Linked DNA regions of Oryzias latipes. The protein of the gene in region 1 interacts with the protein of each later gene in a pairwise test. Links are inferred from orthologs where the notes say so. Each region holds a gene or a part of one and is shown in the gene's direction. Other genes may lie near its edges.

The links.
Region 2: the proteins of dachshund homolog 1 (region 1) and rnf14 interact in binary tests that used the Homo sapiens proteins (3 or more experiments, as listed by UniProt). The two-hybrid records come from large-scale screens. The link is inferred for Oryzias latipes from reciprocal best matches to the Homo sapiens genes DACH1 and RNF14.
Region 3: the proteins of dachshund homolog 1 (region 1) and fibroblast growth factor 12 interact in binary tests that used the Homo sapiens proteins (3 or more experiments, as listed by UniProt). The two-hybrid records come from large-scale screens. The link is inferred for Oryzias latipes from reciprocal best matches to the Homo sapiens genes DACH1 and FGF12.
Region 4: the proteins of dachshund homolog 1 (region 1) and c17h1orf35 interact in binary tests that used the Homo sapiens proteins (3 or more experiments, as listed by UniProt). The two-hybrid records come from large-scale screens. The link is inferred for Oryzias latipes from reciprocal best matches to the Homo sapiens genes DACH1 and C1orf35.

Annotation. Positions count from the first base shown.
Region 1 is NC_019873.2:18,572,309-18,579,570, reverse strand, and holds the end of dachshund homolog 1, read left to right. Parts: intron 1-637; coding exon 638-834; intron 835-1,373; coding exon 1,374-1,524; intron 1,525-2,851; coding exon 2,852-2,980; intron 2,981-3,170; coding exon 3,171-3,289; intron 3,290-4,302; coding exon 4,303-4,371; 3' UTR 4,372-4,875; downstream 4,876-7,262. UniProt on the Homo sapiens protein: Transcription factor that is involved in regulation of organogenesis. Seems to be a regulator of SIX1, SIX6 and probably SIX5.
Region 2 is NC_019872.2:6,684,719-6,691,537, forward strand, and holds the end of rnf14 (E3 ubiquitin-protein ligase RNF14), read left to right. Parts: coding exon 1-120; intron 121-233; coding exon 234-364; intron 365-1,057; coding exon 1,058-1,247; intron 1,248-1,350; coding exon 1,351-1,721; intron 1,722-1,829; coding exon 1,830-2,058; intron 2,059-2,981; coding exon 2,982-3,154; intron 3,155-3,821; coding exon 3,822-3,952; intron 3,953-4,029; coding exon 4,030-4,090; 3' UTR 4,091-4,851; downstream 4,852-6,819. UniProt on the Homo sapiens protein: E3 ubiquitin-protein ligase that plays a key role in the RNF14-RNF25 translation quality control pathway, a pathway that takes place when a ribosome has stalled during translation, and which promotes ubiquitination and degradation of translation factors on stalled ribosomes.
Region 3 is NC_019871.2:566,504-574,348, forward strand, and holds the start of fibroblast growth factor 12, read left to right. Parts: upstream 1-3,880; 5' UTR 3,881-4,347; coding exon 4,348-4,546; intron 4,547-6,323; coding exon 6,324-6,434; intron 6,435-7,368; coding exon 7,369-7,472; intron 7,473-7,845. UniProt on the Homo sapiens protein: Involved in nervous system development and function. Involved in the positive regulation of voltage-gated sodium channel activity. Promotes neuronal excitability by elevating the voltage dependence of neuronal sodium channel SCN8A fast inactivation.
Region 4 is NC_019875.2:27,889,439-27,897,195, forward strand, and holds the start of c17h1orf35 (multiple myeloma tumor-associated protein 2), read left to right. Parts: upstream 1-2,428; 5' UTR 2,429-2,883; coding exon 2,884-2,980; intron 2,981-3,098; coding exon of another isoform or gene 3,099-3,120; exon of another isoform or gene 3,121-3,420; intron 3,421-4,065; exon of another isoform or gene 4,066-4,099; coding exon 4,100-4,250; intron 4,251-4,341; coding exon 4,342-4,387; intron 4,388-4,463; coding exon 4,464-4,546; intron 4,547-4,915; coding exon 4,916-4,988; intron 4,989-5,313; coding exon 5,314-5,390; intron 5,391-5,502; coding exon 5,503-5,622; intron 5,623-7,757. Other genes in the region: guanylate kinase, read right to left, coding at 1-39, 2,288-2,321.

The DNA of each region.
Region 1 (7,262 bases):
TAAGATCGTAAACTAGCACTTATTCCTAAAACATAAATCCAAAGTTTTGTCCAAATTGATGACGACTTGTCAGCATTTCCTAAACTTTAGAAATAACATTCTTAAAATTAAACCAAAGATTTCTGTGAAATTTGAGTGTTTTTGAGTCTCAAAACAAGTTTTTCTATTGTCAAGAGTCAAAGGATTTTGACTCATTCTAAAAATAATTTCCTTATGCCTAGATCCTAGCTCTCAATGAGACAAAACTTTCTCATCTGTGATGCTTTTGAGAAAAGCTTGGAAAGATGTAGAGCAAAGATAAATTAAAAACCTAAAACCAGGTAAAATATATAGAATGTGTGAAAAGAAATTTAAATTTTAAATTTGCAAAAAGAAGAAGTAATGAATCTTGAACTATTGCTTAAAAATTAATGTTGTAAAGATTTTTCTTTTTGAAATTCAAAGTTTTAGTTATTTTTTTAAATTTTGAACCTCCTTTGTGTGAAAACTTGATCTTTTTAAATTAAATGAACATTTATAATGTTTTTACTCTGAGGAGTGTGCAAGTAGTTTAGGCTGAACTACACTCCTGACGCATTCTGTCAGGAGTGTAGTTCAGCCTCACTGTTTGACTTCAAACTGTCTCTCTGCCCTCCAGATAACAGCTACTTGGTTGCACAGTCTACCAGGGAGAGCTGTGATAGACAAGTTGACCAAAAGCTCCCATCAGGCAAGGAGAGCTGCGAGAGGGTATCTTACCCTGCAGGACAGAAGCTCCCAGCAGGTCTTCACCACACTCCCTTCATCTTCCCGGAAGGCTTGTCCTCCATAGAGACCCTGCTCACAAACATCCAGGTGAGGCTCTGCTGGGGCTTTATTGTTATCATATTTTTAAGATGAATAGGAAAAGAGATGAGCCGCCCTCTGGGATTTCCTGAAATGGTAAATAGCAGACATTTGGAGTAATTGGGTTGGGCATGTGTTGACCTGTTTCTCAGATTTTACTCGTCTTTGTTGTAACGCAGTCACAATAAAATCCTTCTCCACTCAGATTTTCACAGGGAGGGGGGAAAACAACCTCATGTGACCTCAATGTGTTAGCAGTTTCCTGTTTTTTTTTTTTAAACCTGTTGTTAAAGGATCAGCGTTGACTTTCATCAAGGCATTAAAAAGTCAAACTATAAACTGAAATATTGCCCAAAGAAGTAACGGATATTTCCACAGTGGGAGTATTTACCGTACTTAATTCCCATTACCATAAGCCGATGCTTTAGTTTGTCCATTTATCTGGAAAACACAGTGCCTTTGTTGAGGTGCACACGTCTCTTTGATGAAGCACCTCTTGGCTCCTGTCCAGCATGTAACCTGTTGGTGTGCGCCTGTGTGACTCCAAGCAGGGCCTGCTGAGGGTCGCCATAGAGAATGCCCGGGCGCAGGAGAAGCAGGACCAGCTGGAGAGGACGGAGCTGAAGATGGAGCTTGTCCGAGAGAGGGAGCTCAGGGAAACCCTGGAAAGACAGTTGAGCATGGAGCAGAAAAATAGAGGTGCATCAAAGTTTCAACAAGATAAGAAAAAAAACTGTTTTTCATGTGGACGCCACACGATGACGAGAAACTTTGTGCTGTCTGTTGAATTTATCCACACTGGCGCAGCACGTGTTTTAACACCTGAACTCTGACAATTCTGCTGTGCTGCTAAACAAGGTTGGTTTAATCCACTTCTGAGCTGACAGGGTGTCCATTAAGTTGGAAATCAGATAAGGAAGTGAGGACACCCACTGTATATTAGCCCTCAAAGCAGCTGCAGAGGTGAATTAGGCTTAAGTTGGCAGTGAGCGTCAAACTAAATCAAGTTTGCCAAGTTTACAAAAGGTAGCGTCAGAACAAATTCCAGTCAAGGACATTTTTCCTGATGTTACATCAGGTGGAGAAGAGCTTCTTTTATGTCACATAGTTTTTGCAGTTTAAAATTCCTTGTTTATTCCCAACCTATCAAATTCCAGCTGTGACTGTTCCAAACTAAAATAGAAGAAAGGATTTAAAATGAATAAACAAATAAAGCCACTTTAAAAAAAAAAAACTCTCTAAAAGGTTTTTTTAATCGCTTTTTTTAAAATAGCGTTAGATATTAAAGTCCCAGTCCAATCATCTATTAATCTATTGTAAAAGTGTTCCCCATGGTCTTTACATCATGATAATACCGTTTTTCTAGCAAAAACAGCATAATAATAGCATCAAAAAACCTGTGTCATTTTTTAGGACATAGTTTCTGTAGAACAAGAGTTGTTCATCAGAAATTTGCCTCTAATATGGGGGCAGGACTGCAGGCGCTGAGTGAGCCTGTCCTCAATTCCCATCCTCCATCTGTTTGCACTCTCTCCCGCAAGCTTTCAGCCCCTCACAACCCCAACCTAACATTAGTGGTGCAACAAAAATAGCGAGCAATATTGGAGTTATCCAGCCGTACAGTTTTGAGCCAGATACCAACTTAGACGAGGAAAATAAAGACATGCATTTATTTAGTCATCTGCCAGTGGATGCATCAGAATGGAGTGGAGCAGGGAGCTGGTGGCCTGCTTACTGTAGCACCTATCACAGCTTCAAGCTTTTACAAATGACCTTTGTTCGTCTGCAATTTGAATGAAGAAATACTCAGAAATGCAATTTTAATCTTATTTAATCTTCATTTTCTTTATAAATGTTCTCCATCATGTAAAAATGCCACAAGAATACATTACAAATACCAAAAACACGATTTTCAGTGGAGTGGGTGTTTGAGAAGTGTCATAAGGAACACCATCAAAAGGAAAACCACACAGAAAATAACTTTTTTATTGCTTTTTTTAAAAATCTTTTTTCTTTCTTTTTTTAGTTCTGATTCAAAAGCGTCTCAAAAAAGAAAAAAGAAGCAAGAGGCGACTTCAAGAAGCCCTTGAGGAAGAGGTCAAGCTGCGCGATCAGGCCGAGCACAGCCTGCTGCATACTGCCAACACTCACTTAGGTACAGAAACTGAATCCTTTTTTTTTTATTCCACATATTATATTTCTCATTTGACTCCAAACCTCAGCTAACGTTACAGCAATTATTTTAATCCTCATCTTGAATGTCAACAAACTTTCAAAGCAACTTTATCTTGATTGCTTATCATCCTCTAATTAAGGGTCTTTATTAATTAATGACCAAACTGCAGGCCATCAATCATCCGCAGTCCTTCCTCACACAGAAGCTGTGACCCAGGACGTGGACGGGAGCAGCCACGACGACAGCAGGCTGGACAGCAAGGCGACAGTACAAGGTAGAGCTGTCCAGGTGACAAACTCTGCTGCAATCCGTGTGCGGCTGTGAGGACAGCCTCACATTTAGATTAACAAGGATATTCTATATTTACTCATGGAAGAACAGAGCCCCTGAAGCTCAGAAGACTATTGCGCTTGTGAAACACTACACAGAGTTTGCAAGAATTATTGTAGGCAGTGATGAATTGGTTCTTCCGTTATGAAAAAAAATTCAATTTTACGGCAAGAATAGCAGTAAACCTGCTGCCTGAGATTTATTATGCTCCTGTTGACTGAGCTAGGACAACAGATTTCATTATTTCACCTACTCACTGCTTTTGATGCCTAACTGACCAGTCTGCTGGAAGGGTTTTGAAAGATTTCACATGGAGCTCGCTCCTGAGAAATTGAACAAAATGCAATGAAGCATGAGGCAGTTCACTGGGGCGACTGTTTTAATGGAGACAGGCATTTTAATATGTTTATTTTTGCCTGCATTATTGTCTTCATAGGGGCAGTTTAATGGGAAAATCCCACTTGCCACATCTTTGACAGACAGAAAAACGGCCGCGATCTCTGGCTCGGCCTTATCAAAAGAGTGCGTGGTCCCGGCCCACCTCTGCTCCGGACTCTGCCAGGAGCACCAAAGCAGACAGTGTGCTTGTTCAAAAGCAATTTTTAATTGAACGTCAGTGAAGCAAGAAGAGAACTGGCCACTAATTAATGGCTGTCTTAATTGTCCTCATGACGAGTTTGTTTGGACATCATTTGCATAATTAACACCCAGTAATAAATCATTTAAGAGGGAATTGTCTGTCAGACAGCAAACCAGGATGTTGTTCCTTTGTGCCAGGAAGTTTTTTCCTCCAAATATGGGCATCAGGGCAGAAAAATCACTTTGAACTTTATAATGCTTCTTTGTGAATATTGCTGCTTTTTTTACCTTCTCCACAGTTTATATAAAAGGATTGCGTTATCTCTTTCTTTTTTAATCAACATTTGAGTGTTTTGAGTAACATTGTTATTTTTTTGCATGGGGGATTTCAGAGGGAAGAGTGTTCCTTCAGACCACCGGACTGTTCTGAGAAGAAGCTAAAGCAGTGGAAAGATGAATGATTAATGGAAAGACCGGAGCAGAGCGCGATGAAGACTCTTCAATTATGACCAATATAGCTGACAGACACGCTCAGACCCACCGTGGCACGTGGGAAACAATTCTCCAGCTTCCTCCTCATTTCAAGGGTGACACCTGAACTTTAATCATTGTTCTCTTCTTTAATTTATTGCATTTACCTTCAAATCCCAACTGGAATAGAACTTTATTCTGATGTTGTGTTTGGCTGTGTTTTCTTTTAATCACGGTTTATAGTTACTAGATGATAAAGATCATAGTTGTTTGTTGTCAGTGCAGTTTTTTTTTTGGACACAGGTGATGAAAATAACTTGTAACAGAGATGTGTACATATATATAGTGATCACTTTTATTATTATTATTATTATTATGGTAAAAAAAAGAAAATCCTAACTGCATGTTGTACATTCAGGTAATGACCTCTATTGTGTATGTTATGCAGTAGTGCAGTTTGACAATACAAACAATACAGATCATTTTTCATAAACTGTGTTGCTCATTGTTTCTTTATTTTTAAAGTGATGCTTTTGATTTAGTTTTTTTTTTTAACTTTATTGTTCAAATATTATTTTAGAGATGTATTTAAACATTTTTAATCTACAGCATTACCTCTTATTCACAAATTTATAATAAATTCTACTTTATCTGTGTTGGTATAGCGCAAAAAAGAAATGTATGTGAACGTGTGGAAAATTAGGATGCATCGATTATATTCTTCCAAATAACATACATGCCCTTTTTGACATATTGGCAGGAAGATTGTCGGTTTGTTGGCTGGCATTGAAAGTGCCCTTTGGTTTAATAGATTTGCAATGCAAAGAGAATTTTGACGTAAAACCTTTCTAATTTGATTAAACTGTGGATCATTCTGAGTCTCCTTTAGCAAAGCAAACACTATGTTTTTATAAATGTGGAAATATTTTTCTGTAATTCCTTTAGGCTAGGGGTCTGCAACCTGAGGCTCTTTTAGCCCTCTGTTATGACTCTTTGCCTTTGAAAAAAACATGCAAATGATTTGAATAAATAATGGGTTTGTAGTTTTATGCTAATTAATTAAATTTTGCCTTTTATATTTAGATTTTTAACATGTTAAATAACTGAGAAAAAGGTTTAATCTACTGTCTGACCATGTTTGATTTGGCTTTTTTAATTTTTTATTCAAGTAAATCTATTGCAAAAGGAGGATCTTATTTGACACGGGGGGGTTGAATATTAAAAGGATGCAGTACTGGGAAAACTAAAAGACTTTAAAGTTCTCATTTGTTGACAAATTTAATCCTGTTATAATTCAATATTGTATATGATACAAATGAATGGCTTAATGGCCACAAAAACTTTGTATTTTTCTAACTGTTAAGTGGGGCGTTGTGTCTCTCGCTGGGTTTTGGTCAGAAAGAAACTGCTCCACATGGCTCTTTCTGTGTTAAAAGGTTGAAGACCCCCTGTTTTAGGCCATAAGGATCTCAGAAGATTTTTTTTTTACTAGTGACAAAACTAATTTGTTTTGTAAATGGGACAACATGATGGTTTTATTCAGGATTCGTAGAGCGCTTTTTTTAATACAAATATTAAATTAAATAGGCTATCTGTAAAATAAAACAATAACACTACATTAAGAGTTGCTCTTTTTGTGGGATCCTTTTCAGCAGCAGGAGTTGGTATAATTCTGGGACACAATGACCTTAGACACCCTCCAAAAACCCAAACTTAACTGGACCAGAACAGTGCCCTGCTGATGTAAGAGACCTAAACTTGATACTGAGCTTACTCCTGTTTAATTACAGATAACAATCACATTTTTCTTCCAACTTGCATCAAGATTTCTATATAAATTTGTTTTGATTTTGAGAATGCCGTTCATCGAATTGAATATTTCTGCAGCCCGATTCAAGCTGTCATTTAAAATGTTGTATATGTGTGTTTCAAAACATTGGCTTTTGTAGCACCAATAATAAGCTGAGTCTTTATTTTTAGTGCTTTCAAACTACAGTCTAGCAAATGATGGTTATTACACAATCTTAAAATGAATATCTGAGTATGTGTAAGTTTAAAGGATTGAAAGAGAAACAAAAAGTGTGAATGCGTTTGAAAAACAGTCCAATTGAATGCATTAGAGTTTGTTCTGGAGTCAGCAAAATGTTATCTTAAAGTTTTTTACGTATTAATCTTCAGGTTTCTACTCATTTAACTTTGTCAAAAATGTCTCAGTTTCCTTAGCAAAATCAGACAAACTGTGGAGCGGGACTTAAAAAAGCCTCTGACACGGACAAGTGCTTCCTGAAAATATTTCCAGTGAATTGTAAGAATTTACAGAAATGTGTGAGAATGAGTCACCGGGTTTTGCTAAAATCACCTCAGAGGCTGGCTTACTGAAAGCGTTGGTGACTTCATCCGGTGCTACTTCTCCTCTGTCATGCTCCCTTGTAACAGTCACTGTGTCACATAAACACACACATACACACACACATTCCTCACAATTCAATGAGTAGCATTGTCCTGCTGAGAGATGTGTAATGGAAAAGATAAATGGAGGATAAAGCTAAGGTGACAGGACTGAGCATGCATGTGTCTTCCTGTATTTGCATGTGTGTGTGCGTGTGTCTGCGTGTGTGCACTGCACAACAGACCAGCAAACCATCTGCTCATCTCCTCTTAATGAACAAAGCAAACAGCAGGAGTCAAGGCTGTCTCCAAATCTGGGGTCCCTTTATTGGTGAGCGCACACAAACTCGCACACACACACAATTCTGCACTGTTTAATCTGATTATCTTTGATTGAGAACAGGGGCAAAGCAACCTTTTTAGACCTCAGTCCCACATCAGTGACAGAGAAGGTCTGAAACACAATTAGCAAGCTGTTACTGAGCTCTGCTTT
Region 2 (6,819 bases), on another chromosome or scaffold:
TGCTTGCTTTAGCAAGTATCTATGATGAAGAGGAGTTTCATCAGGCGGAGTCAGCCCAGGGGGGAGAGATCCAAATTTGTCTGGAGCTCCCTCCTGACTTCAAAGTTGTTGTTGTGAAAGGTAGCACTTCCTGTCCGTCTTTAATTTAATGTTAGAAACGCATTTCATGGTGCACATGGACTACCAGGTAAATGATACCGTCCTAAAAGTAAACACAATGTTTTCTTTTGTAGGAGAGCAGACAACTGAGTATGCAGTTTGTTTTTTACCCCCTTTGGTCCTTAATTTTGAGCTCCCGGGAGACTATCCATCTTTGTCTGCGCCGGTCTTCACTCTCAGCTCTAAATGGATGACCAAAGCTCAGGTAGAACTCGTATCCGCTACATGATTTTTCTAATAAGGAATACTCTGCACATATGTTTGATACTTCCTCTGCATATGCTATGATGATTTCTGACATAGTGTTATGTCTGTTTACATGATTATGAAGTACTTCATCTTTGTCATGTGATTCATTGATACTTAAGGACTCTTAATGACCTGAAACTGCGTTTTTAAGGTATAAATATCTGATTAGAAGTTATGAATCAGATAATGATGTAAAGACAATGGTATGGTAGAACAATTTTAAAAATCTGCTTCCTTCCACTCCCTTTTTAAGCAATCTATGATTTAATGACTAATTGTCCTATGTTTGATACATCTTTGTATGGATGTTAAACTCTGATTGTTTTTTTTTGTGCATTGTTCTTGCTTTGTTGGAAATAAACAATTTCCAAATCCAAAAATCTCTTTTTTTAAAATAATTTACCTCAGAAAAGAAAGCTTAAAGGCACACTCCAGTGAAAATAGTGTTTTTTAACATCTATATATCCTTATATCTAAGGAAAATTAAATTAAACTCGCATTTCTCATCATGATTAAAAGACCACTGGGGGCACTTTAAATACAGCTCTAAAGATGATGGGAGTGGTACTTTAAGGGTTTTAAATGGAATTGCATTCATACAAAACAATCTTTGACTGTACTCATCCTAGCACTTCTCTGCTGGTTACAGTTGAGCACTCTTTGCCAACGCCTGGATGAGTTATGGGAGGAAAACCAGGGCTGCGTGATCCTCTTCACATGGATGCAGTTCCTTAAGGAGGAGACCTTGGACTTCCTGGGCATCAAATCTCCTCTTGAAGTCAACAGGAACAACACAAAGCTATGTGGTGAACGAAGAAAAACTGATCCCACTGCTGCAGGTAATGCATATTTATTGAAACATCCTGTTTAGAAAATAGATATTTAGTTATGTTAATGATGAAGAATGTGAAGTTTCTCCTGTTGATTTTTTTTTTTGTCCAGATGTTACAAAATGTGACAGTAAGTCTGAAGTAGCAGAGAATAAACCAGAGATAACAGACAAGCTGGGACAGCACCCTTCTAAGCTTGACCCCCGCGCTGTGGTGTTGATGGACCCACGGGCTGACCCCCTACCTCAGCTGCTGGACTTTGATGAGGCGCAGCGGCAGAAGGTCTTCGACAGCAAGGTGTTCTGCTGTGGGATCTGCTTCTCGGAGAAGCTGGGCTCCCACTGTCTCTGCTTTAAAGAGTGTCAGCACGTGTACTGCAACGCCTGCATGACTGAGTACTTCCAGATCCAGATACGGGACGGCAATGTTCAGTGCCTCAATTGCCCTGAGCCCAAATGTACCTCATTAGCCACACCGCTGCAGGTATTCTAGTGAAACAGAATGTTTTGATCTAGGAAACGTCATCCACATTGACCTCTGTTTTTTATTCTATAATAACTTTTTTGATCTTCTCATCTCTTCATATGTCAGGTCAAGCAGCTTGTGGATGAAGAGCTGTTTGCCCGATACGACCGGCTGCTTCTTCAGTCCACTTTAGATCTCATGGCTGACGTGGTCTACTGTCCTCGTCAGTTTTGTGGCACAGCCGTCATGGTGGAGCCAGACACTACGATGGGCATTTGCTCGGCTTGCCAGCATGCATTTTGCACCATGTGCAAGCTTGCTTATCACGGTGTCTCCCACTGTAAATTCCCTGCAGGTAAAGTGACGTGGAAAATGAAATGTCCGTGTAAATGGTAGGAAAACAAATCTTGTGTTTATGTTTTTTTTTCAACCCCTTTACTGGCGAGACCTAAATAACACCAACTTTGTGACACACCGTAACTCTTCAAGTAGCAAAGCAATTTTTCTTAGCTCCAGAATCTTCTGGAATGTTTTCAAGTGTTTACACAATGAGCGTGATGTTGGGTTATTTTAAACGCTAATTGTGTAAACAGTCTAAAAGTTACATTAGTCTACAAAATGTAAACGCTGGAGCTGAAGCTCCAATGTAAAATGGTAAAAAAAAAAAGGGGGGGACAAAGATAAAATTATTTTAGACCTTTTAATATCTTCTCAGTTTCTTATTACATTCAAAATCCTTTGACTTTGTCTGTCAGCTACTGGAAAAAACTTAGTTTTGGGTTGTTGTAAATCTAGTCCCATAATATTTCTCTTTCAGTTATCTTAATTTTCTTTCCAATATGCATAAACGGCAGCTGGGCAGCTCAGTTGGTAAGGTGAAAGACTGCCACGCAGGAAACCAGTGTTCAATTCTCATGGGGAATGAACAATTAATTAATGGCAAGCAATGGTAATGGTAATGGGGCAATGACCATATCAATCGTAAGCAAGGCAGCTTAACACTGCTGCCTCCCAAGCGCGGCTCGTCTGCAGCTCACCCCTCCCCCAGGGGATGGGTCAAAATGCAGAGAAGAATTTCCCCATTGTGGGATAAAAAAAAGAAACAATTATTATTAAACAAGATACAAATCTATTCATCAAACAATATTTGTTCTAGTAGGTATGTTTTAAAGTAAAATACCTTACAAGTTTTTATTTTATTTTTTATCTTTGTGTCTAAAAGGTAGAATGTAAACAATAAAGGTTAACGCCTCCCTTTCTTTCTGTTTGATCCTTCAGAGGAACTGCGTAACCTCAGAGACGAGTACCTGTCAGCCACATCGGAGGGGAAGAAGTTCATGGAGAAACGCTTTGGGAAACGGGTGATCCAGAAAGCGGTGGAGGAGTCTTTCAGCAGGGACTGGCTCACGGAGAATTGCAAATGCTGTCCCAAATGTGGAACCAACATACAGGTAGGCTCCCCCTGCTAGTAGCTCTGGACTTTGCCTCTACGAGCAGCAGGGGGCAGTGTTGTCCACTATTTCTCATTTAAACTAAACAGAAATATACAGTGTTGGAGATGGATTTGGGAAAAAAAAATAACTACAACTCTCACTCCAAAAATCTTTTGAGCTATGTTAAAAGTGTCCATAGTGGTATTTTAATTGTTATTATGCTGTTTTAGCCAAAATGTAAATGGACATAGTTTCTGCAGAGCAACAGTAGTTCATTAGAAATTCGCCTCTGAGTCGTGGGCAGGACTGTTGGTGTGGAGCAAGTCTGCCCTTACTTCCTGACATCCCTTTATTGACACTCCCCCCAGCCTCTCACACCCCCAACCGAACATTACCAGTAGAAAAAGAAAAAAACTGTGAGCAATATTGGAGCTATCCAGCCGGACAGTTTTGAGTCAGACACCAACTTGGACGAAGAAAACAAAGAGAAAAATGGACATATTTGTCTGCAAGGTGATGCATATGCTCTCTATCATCAGAAAAATGCTACAGGAACCTGTTAAAAACACAATTTTCATTGGAGTGGGTATTTCAATATCCAGTTAAGGAGGGACTCATTTTTTCTTTGACGCTTCAGAACTTGGTCATCAGTGTTCCTCATTTCTTTGTTTTTGTTTCTCCTTAGAAAGTTGACGGCTGTAATAAGATGACCTGCACCTCTTGTAAACAGTACTTCTGTTGGCTGTGCTTGGGCGTCCTCAGCAAAGTCAACCCATACGGTCACTTTAACAACCCCCATTCACCCTGTTACAACCAGTAAGTCACCAGTTTGTGAGAGACTTGAAACATTTCCACGCACATGTGTTTAATGCGGTCTCCCTCGTCTGTTCCAGGCTTTTCCAGGGTGTGGACGTAGATGATGACGACAATTTTTGGAGTGACGAAGAAGACTGAGCCCCTCACCCTTCCAGTGCCTCACTGCTATTTGAAAGCACTTTATTTCTTACATAATCACCACGTCATCTGAGACTCTGACTTCAAACATGTCGTCTCTGTGATGCCACTGTGAGCACATCGTGTTGTTCATGCTAAGAATGTGCGACAAAATCAACACCAGAAACATCCCCTACCTGGGTGATTGTTAAAGAAACTTCAACTACTGTGGTTGTTTTGGATACTTATAGACACCATTTAGCATTTTTAATTCATCATAGATCAAGGAGAGACTTGCATATGAAGTTCTCTTATAACCCTTGGTATTATGGCACTGGGTTAGCACTTAAGTCCAAAGAATTTTTCTTTTTCAATGACGTTTAATAGCTTTTTTAACGAGTTAAGCACTTCTTCATGCAACCTAATGTATTACTGGCAAATAAGAATTAGGTCTGTTCCAGGAAAAGTAAAAGACTTTGGCACAATATGACATTTTTTATTTTGAAATTAGACATAGACAACATACTTGCAATCAGCAAAGATATTTATTGCTTTTTTTTAATGTGATCTGAAAGAAAAGCTATTATGAAAGATGAAACGAAATCAAATATTTTTTTTTTCTGAACTTGAAACTTTTCTTCATCTATTCCTCAATAATTTGTTGGTCAGTGTTGGTTCGGACTGGATAATACAATTGCATTGTTACCTTACTTTAGGTCACTTCCTGTTTTAATTTACAATGCAGGATGTTCACCAAAATAAAAGTTCCAAGTTTGCCATCATTGTTTGTTTTTCATTTTCACAATTGCAATTGTTTTTTTTTAACTCAAACTCATTAAGGAAAACAGCAAATCTGAGAATATTGACCATCATATTCATGTGCAAATGTCTTTTTTAGGTTTAACAGCAGCAAAACTTATTTATAAAACGTCTTCCCTCTTCAATGTTCCACATTTTAAGCTAAAAGGAAGCGGTTATTATAGCAGCGCCTGCAGGATTGTGTTTAACATCTTAAAAAAATATATATATATGACCCCACAGTGCAAAAAGGACAGTCGGTGGTACACTAAATGTGAGAATAAATTGTTTTAAAAGGATTATTACATTTTGCTCAATATTACGGAAGTCCTGTGTGGAACATCAGAATCCAAAATCCACCCTACAGAAGTCAACTCCAGGTGTTTGGTAACATCTGGACACCTGAAAAACCACCCCTGTTTGCTCTAATCCAGAGGTTAAGCTGTGACACAGAGACACAATGACACACAAAAAGAAACAAAGAGCACACGTTGGAGCCTGAGACTGAATAGAGTCAACATTGTGTCATCCCTTTGGCCAGAGTTGCTGACAGAGGAGAACCCTTTAAAATAGGCCCCTCTCTCCTGGCCTGTTCTGTCCCATCCCACGCCTCGTGCTCTCTGCTCGCACCCTGAGCCCCCTGCCCATCTTTGTCCATAGATGCTGACTGACCGGTGGGACATTTACAATGTCCATTAAAGACGCGCCTGCTGGTGGAAGCACAGGAAACGAGCACCTGCAGCAGCTTTCCAACCCCTTCTCCTGCATTCTACGAAGCTGGAAAAGGCAGGTCAGTGTGAAGAAACTCTGCTCTCACGTTAGAATTAAAATGGTGAGAGATTTAGGTCATGAATGAGATCTATTGTTTTAGATAAACGGTTGAGTTCTGGATGAACACAGGAGGAACGTTTTTAGATGAGAGTCACGGGCCGATGGATGTTTCAACCTATTGGATCTCTATTGGAACTCTGTAGAAGCATTGGATCTCTATTGGATCTCTTAATGAAAGCAAAAGACTTTAGTACTATTGACTATGAAACATTCAGACATTTTTTTTCAATTACAGGTTAGGTTTCCACAAAAAAACAAAAATCTGTTATTGTAGAAATTGTTGATTTATGACTTTTAGGCTGTCAAATTAAAAAAATCAATGGAAATACATTAATAAATAAATAAATTAAACGGGTAAAAAATAAATAAAATCATTACTATAAGGCAGTGCTTTTCTATTATTTTTTTGCAACGCCCCCCCTAGGAAAAAGAAAATGTTTCGCAACCCCCCAACACACTGGCTGCGGTGACTATTAGGTTAGTATCTATAAAAATTGTGTAAGTATACCTAAAATTGTATCTTTTAACACTAACAAAAGAAAAAAGGAATATAAATCCAATTTTAACAAATATTAACTTTATTTAGCCACACAGAAACCCTGTTCTAGTCTAAAACAGAAAAAAGCTTAAAGGGCCTGAAATAAAAAAATCTGTCATTCCTTATTTAAACTAAAAACATTTTGACCATCTGAACCATTTGATGCCGAGAAAAATAATTCAATTAATAATATTACATGTAAATTGATCTGAAATATTAACACAGGAGCACCAATAAATTTAACGTTTTTAGTCTGAAGAAATAGATAAAAAAACATTGTGCTAATTTTTTTTCTAAATGATGGATTTTTTATTTCTGATCTCATAAAGTGCAGCTGTTTTCCTGCATTACCTGCTGTCTTTATGTACAATACCGACACCAACTAAACCACAGACAGACAAAGAATACATTTATGGAAAATAAAGACACATCATCAAAATATCTACAATAGTTCATAAAGAATGACATTATTAGCATGAGCTGAGTAATATATAGGCACACCATGATCCTTGTGTTGCGCAACAGCGACAGCGCTCTGCGTGTGCGTTCCACCCTTGCAGCCTGAGCCCACTACCCCTCTCCT
Region 3 (7,845 bases), on another chromosome or scaffold:
GCTCTGTGTGTGTGTGTGTGTTTTTATGTGTCTCTAAAGTTGTCTCCATGCGCCAACATGGAGACCTGTTGTTTGGCTCCGCCTATTTACCCACCAGATGGTCTCAGTTTCATGATTAGTCCTTTTGTTCTCAACCATAAAACAAACCTTGAAGTGTCAAACTTCATCTGGGACGTTGGTCCCGCCCAGAGACGGACAGATGGAGGCGGAGTCAAAGTGTTTATTTCTGCTGTAGCCTTTGAATTCTTCCCAATGACCTGGTTCTGTGACCACACCCCCGCGGTTCTGCTGTTGGCTGATCTGTCTCCCCCTGCTGGTGACACGAGGAACGTCTCCTCTGAAGGACGGACTCGGACCTCCTCAGAGGTCCCGGAGCGGTCTTCAGTTTCAGGGCGACGCCTGCAGGAGTCCGTCTGTCCTCTGCTTCCTCTGACGGATCCAGAAGCAGAACCCGGTTCTGTGTCTGGAGACGCCTGCAGTTGCGTGTTCAAACCTCTGTTTGCTCTGACTTCATGCATGTTTCAGCAGCAGAAGCTCCTGAATTAGATCCAGCATGAAACTTTAAACAGTCAGCCACACGGCAGCTCTGTGTGATGAAGATGAGAAGGCTGGTCTTCATCGTGTGTTTGCTCTGTACGGCCAGCAGAGGACAGCAGCCCTGCAGTTTTTCACATCACCGTTTCTACTGTCTGGAGGCTTCAGAACCAAATAACAACATGAAAGTTTTTAGGAATCAGAGAAGATTGGAGGCAGAAAGACGTTTGGAATTCTTTTCTGCTGCAGTTTCATCCTGATTTGGATTCAAAATGATCTTTATTTCTATCTGGAGATGTTTTTGGAAAAGGTCTTCATGGAGTGAAGCTTCAGAAACTTCAGACCATCTTAACTCCTCGACCGAAGCAGCAGTTTCAGACCAGAAACCTCGATCTGGACCAAACGTCTTCAGGGAGAAGAATTCAGCGTCTGTGGACTTCAAGCTAAACGTCTGTGGTTGTTCAATGGTAGCTGGTTCCGTTTGGATGGACGTCCTGGACCCCGTTTGTCGACCTGACGTGGGAACCTGGATGGCTTTGGACCAGCTCTGGATCTGAATCAGCTCTGGATCTGGATCAGCTCTGGATCAGGTCTGGATCTGGATTAGCTCTGGATCAGGATCAGCTCTGGATGTAGATCAGCTCTGGATCAGCTCTGGATGTGGATCAGCTCTGGATCATGTCTGGATCAGGATCAGCTCTGGATCTGGATCAGCTCTGGATCTTGATCAGGTCTGGATCTGGATAAGCTCTGGATGTGGATAAGCTCTGGATGTGGATCAGCTCTGGATCAGGATCAGCTCCGGATAAGGATCAGCTCTGGGTCTGGATCAACTCTGGATGTGGATCAGCTCTGGATGTGGATCAGCTCCGGATCAGGATCAGCTCTGGATCTGGATCAACTCTGGATGTGGATCAGCTCTGGAATGTGGATCAGCCCTGGATCTGGATCAGCTCTGGATGTGGATCAGCTCTGGATCAGGTCTGGATCTGGATCAGCTCTGGATCTGGATCAGCTCTGGATGTGGATAAGGTCTGGATCAGCTCTGGATCAGGATCATCTCTGGATCAGGTCTGGATCAGGATCAGCTCTGGATCAGGTCTGGATCAGGATCAGCTCTGGATCAGGTCTGGATCAGGATCAGCTCTGGATCTGGATCAGCTCTGGATGTGGATCAGCTCTGGATCATTTCTGGATCAGGATCAGCTCTGGATCTGGATCAGCTCTGGATCTGGATCAGTTCTGGATCTGGATCAGGTCTGGATCTGGATCAACTCTGGATCTGGATAAGCTCTGGATGTGGATAAGCTCTGGATGTGGATCAGCTCTGGATCAGGATCAGCTCCGGATCAGGATCAGCTCTGGATGTGGATCAGCTCTGGATGTGGATCAGCTCTGGATCAGGATCAGCTCTGGATCAGGATCAGCTCCGGATCTGGAACAACTCTGGATGTGGATCAGCTCTGGATCAGGATCAAGTCTGGATCAGGATCAGCTCTGGATCTGGATCAGCTCTGGATCAGGTCTGGATCAGGATCAGCTCTGGATCTGGATCAGCTTTGGATGTGGATCAGCTCTGGATCAGCTCTGGAATGTGGATCAGCTCTGGATCTGGATCAGCTCTGGATGTGGATCAGCTCTGGATCAGGTCTGGATCTGGATCAGCTCTGGATCTGGATCAGCTCTGGATGTGGATCAGCTCTGGATCAGCTCTGGATCTGGATCAGCTCTGGATGTGGATCAGCTCTGGATCAGGTCTGGATCTGGATCAGGTCTGGATCTGGATCAGCTCTGGATCTGGATCAGCTCTGGATGTGGATCAGGTCTGGATCAGCTCTGGATCAGGATCATCTCTGGATCAGGTCTGGATCAGGATCAGCTCTGGATCAGCTCTGGATCAGGATCACCTCTGGATCAGGTCTGGATCAGGATCAGCTCTGGATCAGGATCCTGAAGCGGGCCTCCCCTTCAGGAAGACGAGGAGCTCAGAGTGGAGCCGCCGCTCCTCCACATCCAGAGGCCTGTTGAAGTGGATTGTTCACGTCTTTCAGACCCCCGGAGTTGTTCTGGGCGGGTCCCACTGAGAGGAGGCCCCCCAGGAGAACCCGCAGTGTTAGCGGAACTTTTGGGTTCCAAAGGAACAGCTGGTGGAAGGGTTCACCTTGATGGAGGCCAGAATTCATGAAAAAGTTTGACTTTTTAGACCCAGTTTAGTAAACAGCGTGTCAGTAAAAACCTTCCACGTGAGGCTGATGGGATGGGGGGCGGCGTGCCCCGCAGATGACCTGAAGGGGCCACAGGGGTTTGGCTGTGGCCCTTCCTCAGAAAAATGCTGATCAGCATAGATCCAATGTTGTTGGTATATGCTGAGGAACAGAACCTTCAGGCAGAACCTTTTCTCTAAGCCGTGGGCGGGTTCTATCTGCAGCTAAACTATGGTGGCCCCGAAGGGCCAGTGACACCAACAACCCACTCAACGCAAAAACGTAATAGAGGTCACTGCTGCCACTAAGAAAGCAAAAACAACAAGGTTACATTTAGGATCTAAAACCAAATTCCACAAAAAAAGAAAAGAAAAGGAATTTTTCTCCAAATGAAATGTAAAAAAGAAAACGAAACAAAAAGAAACAGGAAAAGGACGGCAGAACCGAGAGTTTGCTTCCTGTTGGCAATGTTGAAATCCAGTTTCTGATGCTTATACTCACTCAAAAATGGGGGGTTGGGGGCTGCCCCCTGTAGCTCCACCCATGTAGCTCCGCCCATGTAGCCCCGCCCATGTAGCTCCGCCCATGTAGCCCCACCCATGTAGCTCCGCCCCTGGTATGGAGCAGATCCAATATGGTTTGACAGCAAATAACATTCGGTTGAAATGATGGGCAATCTTCATGACATAAATAAATGATGATAGTAGACTAAAATAATAACATAATATGATAAATGCAAACATTTATGTCTAATTGATGATTGACATTTGTTTGATAAACCTGTTTTCCTGTTAAGATCAATTTCTAAACAAAAAATCATTTTATTTGATGTTTAATCTTAAAAAATCACAAATATTGAAAGAAAAACATTTTCTCTTTAGTGAAAACTGAAACCAAACGAGTGAAAAGAGGAAAGGATGAGGGTTGAATGATGACCTTTGACCTTCATGTGACGGACCTCAGAGTGAACATTCTGCACCTCCAAACGTGAAGGCGGCGAGGACCGTCCTGAGGCGTGGAACCGTGGCGCGTTCGTGTGATGAAGCATCGGGATGTGGGAGCAGAATATTTATAGGAGCGTCTTCCTCCTCCTCCTCCTCCTCCACTCGCCCCCCTCCCTCTGCCTCTCAGCCTCTCTTCACATTCAGCAGCGAGGAAGAGGAGGACGAGGAGCCAGCCTCCTCTGCTCCGGGATCCTTCAGAACTTCTGTTCCGGGTTTGAGCTCCTCTGGAGAGAGGAGACGGTTCTGGAAGATCCAAACAGCTTCTGCAGACACGAGTTCTCTGGGACCAAAACTACCCAGAAGGCTTTGCTCTTCATTTATTCATCCATGCAGACGCTCCGTCAGCTCGGAGGACCATCATCTTCTCTGCAGGTCAAAGCGGAACCGTTCTGAGAAGACGGTTGGATTCCCGATAGCTGAGGCTCTGGGACGTGACAGGATTTTACCGCTTCAGCAGGTCGGGACTCTTCTGGCGACTCACGGGGGTGCTCAGCACTCGCCTCTGCAGCTCGGCGCCACCGTGGCTCGGTTCTGATTGACTCCCCTTCAGATGGTCCGCTGTCTTCTGCTCTGGACTGAAACCTGGAGCCGGTTCTTGGTGGGAGATGGCGGCGGCCATCGCCAGCTCCCTGATCCGGCAGAAGCGTCAGGCCCGCGAGTCCAACAACAACCAAGTCGCCAGCAGCAAGCGGCGCTCCAGTCCCAGCAAAGACCCGCGCTCGCTGTGCGAGCGGCACGTCTTCAGCGTCTTCAGAAAAGTTCGCTTCTGCAGCGGGAAGAAGCGGCCGGTGCGCCGGAAACCAGGTGGGTCCAGAACCGTCTCTGGTCGGTCCAGAAGAACAGCGTCTGTTTTTCTGCTAGAAACCAGCATCGGCACAGGTGAGCTCGCTGCACCAGTGCATGATGGGAAAGTTCGATCTGCTAGGGACACCGGTGGGGTGGGAAGCGGGACGAAGCTGGACCTCCTGCAGGAGGACAGCAAGGAGGTCCCGGTTCCCTTTGATGGAAGCTGGTCCTGATGAGGAAGGGGGGCGGTCCATTCAGTGGGGGTGGGGGGCCTCTGAGGTTCAACGGTGGAGCCCCCCCGATGACCTGCAAGTCGTCCTGCACACCAATGACACGACAACGTTGAAGCAGAGGGGAGGGGGTGGGGGGCTTTTACTTTAGAGCCCCGCCTCCATTTTGTTCTAACTTTCTGGGGTTTTCACGTCATCAGACACGGATCCACTGTGACACAAATGTCTGGCGTGGAATGAGGGGGGACTTTGTGGAGCGAAGGATTCTAAGGATTCAGGAGAAAGTTCGTCTCTGAATGTTTGGTCCCGTTGGTTTGGTAGCCGTCACTCCCAGCTGATTCCCTTCCAGTGTTCCTGTGTCTTTATCCACTTCTTCTCTGGTGGATTCCAGTTTTTGGCAGTAATATCTGCAGCAGAGCGGCTCGGCTCCTTCGTCGTCACACCGGAAGTCCTCTTGTTGTGTTTTCTTCTTGTCCAACAGCTGAGCAGACAGACGGGATCAGAGCTGACGGCTCTTTGATTGACAGATTTCACTGCTACAATCTTCTGACACATGAGGTGCATATTTGAATAAACCCCCTTTGAAAATTGTTTATATTTGGAACTACGACTCTTAAGGCAGGTGTACAAACAAAAAAGGATTTTTTTTTTATTCGTAGTTGTAAATTTATGACTTTAAAAAGGAAAAACACTAAAGTTGTCTGTCTATTAGAGCCGCGCTGGAAGATGACAGATGTGGAGCTTTATTTCCAGATAGGTTTAAAAAAAAAAGACATTCTGAACATTTTGGCGACTCAAAATCAGAATATTTTCAGTGTAGCCGTCTTTCTGGGGTTTGGTGTCAGTAAAACGGAGTTTCAGGGGGAGCGGCGCCTCCCGCCTCAGGGGGAGACACCCCGTCCTCTGACCACAGCTTACAGCAGGGCTGCTGGTTCCTGGTCCTGCAGATCTCTTCCAGCTCTCTGCCTGCTGCTGGTTACCTGGACCAGGTGTTCATTCAGACAGAAGGTGGAGGTTTCTGGTTGAGCTAATCAGCAGCTAGCAGGACTTGAAGATCTGGACAACAGTCAGGTTGCTGGACCTCCAGGACCAGGAATGAGCGGATCCGCCTTAGACTTTCAGACTTTCTGTGGCTCCTTCACCGTGGAAGTTCTTCCTCCGTGGTCAGAATACCCATCATACCGGCTCACAATAGACTTCAGGTGTGTCCTCATTTGTGGGCGGAGCCGTTTGTGGCGTTGTCTGTAACTCACTTCCTGGTGGCGTGGCCCTGCGTCCTCCTGGACTCTGAGGTGAGCTTCAGAAATGGCAGAGCAGCCGTTGTTTCAGCATCTTCACCCCATCAGCTTGTCCGGATCAGTAGAGGCTCCTCCCCCGGCGGTGTGCAGCGCACCTTTAAAAATAGCTCTGCAGGGAGGAACGGCGTCTTGTTGCTGCAGCTCCATCAGAGGATCTAAGCCTCCCCCTGAGCACAGGACGGTGAACGGGTGATTGGCGGGAAGCTGCTCAGGTGGGAGGAGTCTGCGGTGCCCCCCCTCATGTCTTTTGTGTTACTGTTGTTGCAGAGCCGCAGCTGAAGGGCATCGTGACGCGTCTGTTCAGCGAGCAGGGCTTCTTCCTGCAGATGCTGCCTGATGGGACCATCAGCGGCTGTAAAGACGAGAACAGCGACCACAGTGAGTTCCCCGCCCACCTGCTGCCACACACTGCCACACCCACCTGCTGCCACACCCACCTGCTGCCACACCCACCTGCTGCCACACACACACTGCCACACCCACCTGCTGCCACACCCACCTGCTGCCACACCCACCTGCTGCCACACCCACCTGCTGCCACACACACACTGCCACACCCACCTGCTGCCACACCCACCTGCTGCCACACCCACCTGCTGCCACACCCACCTGCTGCCACACCCACCTGCTGCCACACACACACTGCCACACCCACCTGCTGCCACACCCACCTGCTGCCACACCCACCTGCTGCCACACCCACCTGCTGCCACACACACACTGCCACACCCACCTGCTGCCACACCCACCTGCTGCCACACCCACCTGACTGAAGGAACCCAGATCCGTGTCACTCAGTGTCCTCTGATCCGGCACGCCGTCCGACCGGACCCTGGCCTCAGACAGCCACAGTTTGGTCCAATGGGAGGGTCAATCATTTTAGATCCAATTCCAACCCACACACTGACGTTTTCATGGCTCCGCCCACAGAAACATCAGGAGACGTTCCCTCCTGGTGTTTCCTCCTCATCAGATGAAGATCCTTGATCTGCAGACGCTCAGCTTTGCTTCCTGCTGCAGACCCACCTCCTCTGCCGCTGTGGAAGAGCCGAAAAGGAGGCCAGGAGGAGGAGGACCAGAGTTAAATAAAGGAGGACCAGCAGCAGCGCGGCCACAGGCCTCCTCCACCTCCTCCACCTCCTCTCCCACGCAGCAGCTCCGTCTCTGAGGAGCCAATCGCCTGGTGGCGCGGTCCCGTTTCGTTCCGCCTCGTTCTGGCTGTCTGCTGCGGCGCTGCTGTCTCCGCTGAGTGGGTCGCGTGCGTTGGCGGGCGGGAAGCTGCTGCTGACCCGGTTCTGTTTGTCGCCCTCAGCTCTCTTCAACCTGATCCCTGTGGGGCTGAGGGTCGTGGCCATCCAGGGAGTGAAGGCGGGGCTCTACGTGGCCATGAACGCCGAGGGATTCCTCTACACGTCTGTAAGTCTCCTCACAAAAACATGGTTCACCATCAGAACCCATCCATGGAAAACGTTCTTCAGGACGGGTTCTGCTGTCCACTCTTGTGACCGAATGGAGAGCTACGGGTTTTTGTTTGTCCGGGTCTCAGAGAGGAGCGGCTCCGTCTTCAGGTGCAGGCGTGTCTTTCCGTTCCCTTCAGGCTCGTCTGGACAGTGAAAATGGAACGTACCATTGTCCTGCGTATTCATCGCTCTGATGACGGTCGGCGTCCTTACGCCACTCTCTAGTGGTTAGTCTCTATGGGTTTTTTTGAGCGACAGGAAGTAGGCGGGCTTCCTGAAAAGACAGGAAGTAACTTTTGTTTCTGGGTGGTCATGAAATGTTTTGACTC
Region 4 (7,757 bases), on another chromosome or scaffold:
ACGGGCCACTAAACACCAGGGGCCTGGGTCCAGCCATAGCTGCAGGAGAAGGAATAAAACACAAACCGCTGAATTCTTTTCATTCTTTCCAGACAATCCGAGGTTCCAGCCAGAGAAACCGGCCAAACCGGCCTAACGATCGTCATCTTTATCTCCATGTATTTTTTTTTAAATAGAATAAGAAACTCAACAAATATTGACATCATATCTTTACAACAAGAGTCGAGAGAACAAACCTCAAAAGCTAGAAAAGAAAATCCTCTGATCTTTTTGTTTTATCATGTCTGTTTTGTCAAATATTGTCAACAACAAAAAAAAAAAAGCCCCACAAACTCTACTTTACCTTTTCACCTTTCCTGAAATCACGCAGCACTTGAGCAGACGGAGGGAAATGAACGGGCGGACTTATATTGAGTCAGGATGGGAGGGTCACTGACAGGGTGGGGCTGCCTCTTCCACGTCAGCTTCAGCTTTCTGTTTCTTTTTTTTCCTATTGTAAACACTACAGCAACTGCGTAAAAAGCTGCTGCGTCAATGTTTTTAAATAGATATGCGGAACCTGCTCAGCAGGTAAAGCCCTTTTCATCATTAACATTAAAAAAAAAGACTTAAACTCTGCTTTAGTCCTTTAGTCATAAAACATCCTTTTAGTTTCCCGACAGAAACAGTTTAAACAAATGAAAGCACAGGTGCCCTACGTTTTACTGCAATTTGATTTATTCAAGCTTCAACAGTTCCAGTCGTGGACTGAAAAATAAAGAAATGTAGGTTTAAATCTAGTGTCAAATGACTCAATTGTGTTGTTTTCAGGTCACATTTAGCGAACCAAGTTTTTAACACAAGAGAAGCCCAGGAAAAAAAAATCCCAATAATTATTTATATATATTTAACCACAAAATACAGAATCTACAGTCGATGATCAATGGTTGCATCCAATTAAGATGAAAATATATATATATTTGGTGCATAGTTAAGACCTAGTTCTGCTCAAGACCATTTATTTCTCTAAACTTAAGTTGTCAATTAGAAAGATTAGCTTCTGATTTCCCTCAAACTGTTTTCCAAAAAAAAAAACCTTTCCTACTTAGAAGAGGCTGACAGGAAATGAGAAACATGTGAAGCTACGATCAGCACAGACTGACTCTCATGATGAACGCACAGAGAATCATGTGATCAGATTTACAACCAAATAAAAATCACGTGAAGCCTACAAAGCACTAGCGGCTCCGTGAACCAGAAAGGCTGAGCGTCACTGTCAAATTCTATTGGACATTTTTTTAATCTACATTTCAGTTTACATGACAGTTTGGTTAAACACTGTTAACACATAACTAGTGATTTAACCAAATCAAAACACAACTTTCATTAATTCAATGAGAACATTTTACGTAAAAAATTGACAGAAAATGTTTGTTTTTTATATAAAATTGATTAAAATGAGATGTTATCAATCAATGTTAAGTACATGTTCTAAGAGAAGATCAATTGATTATCCTTAAGAAAACACACAGAAAATACACATGTATTGCATTACAGATGTCCTGTTTACTTGAATGTAGATATTATTGTGGCAAAGTAATAAACTGATTTTATCTCTTGGGTTTGACGGTTTTCTGTTAATTTATTTCTTTAGTATCTCACTGGTTGGTTAAAAATATAATATGTTAAATGTCTGTTGTGTCAAACTGCACCAATGTTGTTTTGCTCCGAATAAATACCATTTAAAAATGCTCAACAGATTATCAGACTTTTCAGTAAACCAAAACCTAAAAAATTGGTTCCAACTTAAATGTTTTTTTTTGTTTTTTTTTTAATATTGCAAGGTATGTAACATCTCACAGATATAAGCTTATATTCTAATTCTTCAAAATGCACATTTTTAGTGACAAATGGTAGAAAATGCATTAATTTGCATGAATAAGCAAACTGGATATCTTATAAATATTTTTAAAAAAGAAGAAGAAAAAAGAAAGACAATTTTGTTAGTGATGTAATTTTTCTCCCAAATTACATTTTACAAAGGGTTTCCTAATTTAAGTTGACATTAAACAAAATAGATGATACTGGACGTTTTTATGCTACTATCAAAAGTTGTATCATCCATCTAGGATTTATATGCATCCTGAAATAAAATAAAACACCGGTTGACTTCTTGGGCACCATCTTTTCCTGTAGCTCCGTGACAACAAAGTGTCTCCAGGAATGAATAGTGGTTCCGACACAGAGATGGGAAAAAGAGAACAGAACAGCAGAAGGAGGAAAGGAAGTCAAAAATCCTCATTCCTACCTGAAAACAGTCTGATAAAATGTCTCATGTACATCGGGAGGCAGGTTTTTCTGATTCTGCAGACGGTCCTCGGAGCATTTTCTGCCTCCGCCGCCCTTTTCCTCACCGCGAGACGCCTACGTCATCACTACGTACCCAAACACGTTACGTCCGCGCGCGCCACTGGACGCGACCAAATGAAATAAACAAAAGGAGCAGGAAATGCTCGTTAGTCGGGAAAAAAGTTGTATTGCTTCTATTTGCAGTAGTCAGATCTTTATTGCTGAGGATTACAAATCTACCGTTTTAAATTTTTTACTTAAATAAAAAAATTGTTTGTTGGGTCTTTGCAACTTTAAGCTGCGCGCGCGAGAGTCCAGCTTTAACGCTCTGCTCTTTGTCGCGTTGTTGGGTTGTTTGTTTGTTTGGAAGTTGCTGTCGAAACAAACGCAGCCGTGTGGGTTTCTTTCGTGGAAACTGGGAATCTAAACTTCCTGGATGAGTCCACGCTAACGGCCCGCACCGACCACGCAGCTCTGCTAACCAACGTAGCTGCTAGCTAGCTAGCTAAGTGTTACTTTTCCCCCCCGAATCTCCACTTTTTTGCCCTTTTGAAGATGTTTGGTTCATCGAGATCCGGAGGCATCCGTGGAGGCCAAGACCAGTTCAACTGGGATGAAGTGAAGGTCGATAAACACAGAGAGAATTATCTCGGTAAGTCCATAACGTGCAGTCGATTACGCTATCAGCGCGTGCCACACATCCAGGAAAGATTAGCTCCAGATGCTTTTAAACCCCGTGTGGCCCCCCTAAAATTAGGTTGTTTTCCTACCTTTTGTTATTGAATTCCTCATTACACAAGGCTTGGCTTGATCTAATAGCTTGATATCAATCCCGATTAATCTCCGTAAAGAAAGCAAAAACGTGCTGTCAATGCCTCCTCTGGTCGACACGTTCGTTGTCTCTGTGCCCTCGCCGCTGCCAGCGGGTCAGCATGCCCAGAGAGAGCTACGTAGTGATCACCACAGTAGTCGGGACCGAGAAACATGTAACAAAAGCAAATCGACAAGCTCTCATAGCTGCTTAGATTTCTGAATGTTGTCTGTGTAAAATATGAGCTAAAACCACAACCTTTCAGGTGCAAAGTCAAACAGAAATGAGGCTCAAAACACCCACCCTTAACATGGCAGGAGACTGTTGCCTTATGTGTGGATTGCCTAAATACTTGGAATTAAAAAAACAGTCTAACAACAAGACTGCACTTGTCTATAATGAGATATTCTAAAAGACAAAGTTTACTCAGCTGGAGGAAGTTTAAAACATTGATCTGATATCAATTTTACAGCTTATATTGCACACTTGTATATACTGTTTGTTTGTTTGCTTGTTTGATTTTATTATATTACAATGTTATCTTTACTACTTTTCCCTTCCTTACTGTTCTTGCACTGATGGTGATGCTTAAATCTCATTGTACTATGCACAATGACAATAAAGCCATTCTATTCTATTCTATTCTATTCTAATTTGATTCTTACACTTGAACCTTTATGGGGGAAAATGCAAAAGGATACATCTACTGGAGAAGTCTGGACTGCTAATATTTTCATTTAAATGTGTGTAACCATGATCATCTTTAAAAGTCAAATAGATTTATTGAAATGATTATTTGGTGCAAAACATTAAAACATCTAGATAAAAGAAAAAGTCTAAATATAAAGTATAACAATCCTGCATAATACATTTTGTATTCTGAATTTGTGGCATTTGAAATGTAGAATTTAAAGAAGAACCTTTACCTAAATAGTTTGACCTCTTCTGCGTTTTTTCCAGGAAACTCCTTGATGGCTCCCGTAGGACGATGGCAGAAAGGGAAAGATCTGACCTGGTATGCAAAGGACAAGAAAGGTGGTGCTCCTTTGTCCAAAGAAGAGGAGCTTGCTGCAGTCAGAGCTGCAGAGGAGGAGGCACTGATGGCTGCCCTGTACGTGCGACTTCCCATAAGCCATTTCCTGTACCTTCTTGAAGATTAGGACACAAAAAGTGATGCTTTGCGTTTCTTGTTCTGAACTTAGAGGCCATAAGAATATAAAGAGACAACCAACAGGGCTTACTAAAGAGGTATGGATACGTTGCTGGTCAATATTGGAAAAATTGCTGTCAAGTCCTGTAAGTTGAATTTGATTTTTTTTTTCAGGATCTTGTAGAGGTATGCCGGAGAGAAGAGGTTGATGGTGAAGAGAAGGATGTGGATCGTATCTCAGGTTTAGGAAGCTCAAGGTGAGATTATCTTCTTGTCTGTGTCATAAAACAGATTTTTTTTATGCAAAATGTTTGCTTTAGGAAAATTTCAACTTTTCTTTTTCTTATTATAAATGCAATTTGCTTGAACAAATGTACAGAAGTTATGTTTAATTGTCCAAATGACAAATGGGAGTTTGTTAATAGTTTTTTTTTTTCTAGTTTATACACTAAAATGAGTCAAATGATTTGTTAATCAGGTTGCTGGTGAATAATATTCTTGGATATTTCATGACTTTTCTTTGCAGTTTTAGGTTTGGCAGAATTCAACCTTCTGTTCAGAGGAGATAAGGTGACTGGCTGTCTGTGGTTTGTTTAAGTTGACTCCATCTTTATTTCCCTCTAAAGTGCAGGGTCACGAAAAATGGTGCTGTCCCAAAAGGAAAAGGAGGCGGCTAAAATGGGTCTGCAAATTTTTACAGTAAGTCGTCTTTCTACATCATCCATACTGCCATTTGGAAACATTATTGTATTAAAACAGCATTTTTTAATTGTCAAAAATTAGTAGTAAATATGTGTTTGATTTTTAATTTTTTAACTATTGACTTTATTAGCATTAGTTATTTAGCAATATTGACGAGGGTTGAGTATGGCAAAAAGAATGAGTCGATTCAGGACTATATGATTAAATATGAATCACTTAAACTTACAAATTTGTTTTTTTTATATATATATTGTAATTTTTTTATACTTAACCCTAAGAAATACTCTAATCTAGAAAAATAAAATTCTTGCTGACGTTTCAGCATCATAAGACTGAAGGAGGCCAAGAAACATCAGCAACAACAACACAGAGTTCAGTGAAACAAGAAACTGAAGTCCGGTGAGAAAAGCGTTTATTTAATGACCTTTACAATGTACAGTCTCTTATCCAACGGTATGTAAGGGGAGGAGTAAATGAATAAAAATCTACTTACTGTGTCTTTAATATTTAGACGTGAAAGTAAAAAGAAGAAAAAAGAGAAAAAGAGCAAAAAGGCAAAAAAGGAGAAGAAGAAGAAGAAAAGACAAAGACAGGATTCTTCCTCTTCAGAGTCAAACGACGACTGCAAAAGGTTTGTCAAAGTCTTCATTCAAAACTGTAGAATTTTAAAAAAATGTCATAAAAATGAGTTTATAACAGGGACAGATTTTCACTGAAGACACCATGACTACATTTCCATTTGCACACTTCTATGTATATCTATCTACCTGACAACAAAGTGTGTTATACAAGTCAAAAATAGGCGCTAACACGTTTTTAAGAATACAATCTTTAAAAAGGAGAACAGCATTCTTTCAGCTGTAAATATTAGCATTTCAACGCACAATACTTATATATTCAATCCAATGAAAATGATGTTTTCGGTGTTTTTAACATGTTCTTGTAGCATTTTTCTCATGATGGAGGACATATAGAAAGAAAATTTATCTTAAAGCTTGGAGAAAGCTTGTAGTTTGATAGAAACTACAGTCGGCGAGCCACAAGCTCCCTGCTCCGCTCCATTCAGATGCTGACAAATAGATCCATGAACGTCTCAGTTTTCCACGTCTGAGCTGTAATCTGGATCCAAACTGTACGTATGGCCAGCTCCAATATGGCTCGCCATTTCTGTTGCACTGCTAATGTTATCTTGGGGTTGTGAGAGCTGTAAGCTAGCTGTGGAGAGTGTAAACAAAGGGATGATGGGAAATCAGCACTGGCGTACCCCCACTGGCCCACCTGCAAGGCAAAGGCCAATTTCTGTGGAAAACCCTTCCGCTGTAGGTTTCCATAACCATTCGGTCTGCAACAACCGTTCTTAATGTGCTGACGTCACCTTATGTGATTGGCTGTCCGTTGGTCTGATGACGTGTCAGATGGTGATTGGTCTGGACAAATTACGATACTACCATAGAAGAAGATATTTCTGTTGTAAACAGAGCTACGTCATGGAGTAAGATAATCTTCTGAACGTGCTTTTATTATTGTTATGATTATCATTAAGTGCATTTGCAGCCGAACGGACAGCGTTCCGAACCTTTCCCTGCTTGCAAACACAAAGCTACGAGACTCCGGCTGCTCTGCTCAGAGAAACGGTTTGCATGTGTGGAGCAGCCGGTTCATTCTAACAGCCACAGATCTTTTTATAAAGTGGGTTGTGGCCAAATCTCTCTAGAAACACTACAAAGAATGTCAGACACTACTTATGAAGGAAAAGAACTTTATGTTACAAAAGGAAATGTGAACTAAAACGCTACGTAGTTTGTCCAAGTGGGGTTACCGTAGTGTGACGTTATCCTCAGTCAAATGGACCCCAAACGGTTATTGCAGGCCGAATGGTTACAGTACCTACACCGCTCTGCAGAAACTATGTCCTAGAAAACGAGACAGGTTTTTTTGATTTGGCTAAAAATGGCTTCATCGGAATGAGTTGAACTGTGCTTTATGGTAAACATGCAGGATGAGTGTTAAACACATCAGAAGTGGAGGTTTGTGAGGATACATATAATGCTGCTGGAGTGGGTGAATATTCCACTGTGGCCCAGAAAATCATTTAATCTCAATCTCAATGTAATGGTTCAATAATATTGATAATAGAAAAAACACTTTATCTTTTTGCCTGAGAAATATTCTGTACTTGGACGGATACAACAAAAATAACTTTGAAATGCTAAGAACAGGATTATGGCAACTATGTTTAAGGGACTATATAAATTGGCTTTTTCCCCACTCCCCTTAAACAATTAAACTCTGTCAATCATTATGTTTAAAAGATTTAATGTGTAATGTGTGTTATGCATGTATAACTGTCTATGATTACGAATAATTTTCTCATTTTTTTTTTAAATCATTTTGCGAATTAATATCTTAACTTGTTTTAACTTCATCTTAACTTAATTTATTTTTTTCTTTTTCCTGTTTCTGATAATTACACTTGTTTGAAATAAGCCAAATCAATCAAAAAAAAATCAGTCTACCTGCAGCTTTTATTTTGAAGGATACAAAAAGTATTAATGATTTTCTTTTTTGATTATTACATTTCCATTCCCCTCAAAACCCCATCTTTCCATTGAGCTCTAACCATGTTCTTATGCTTATTGCAAAACTGCATGCTAACACTAGAGGGAGCTCAAACACTAATCTTTATCAGTGTTAAGACTTTCAATTTAGAAAGCAAGCATTTTGAAATTCTGGCTTTATCCTGTGGATGAGGAGCATGCATAAACC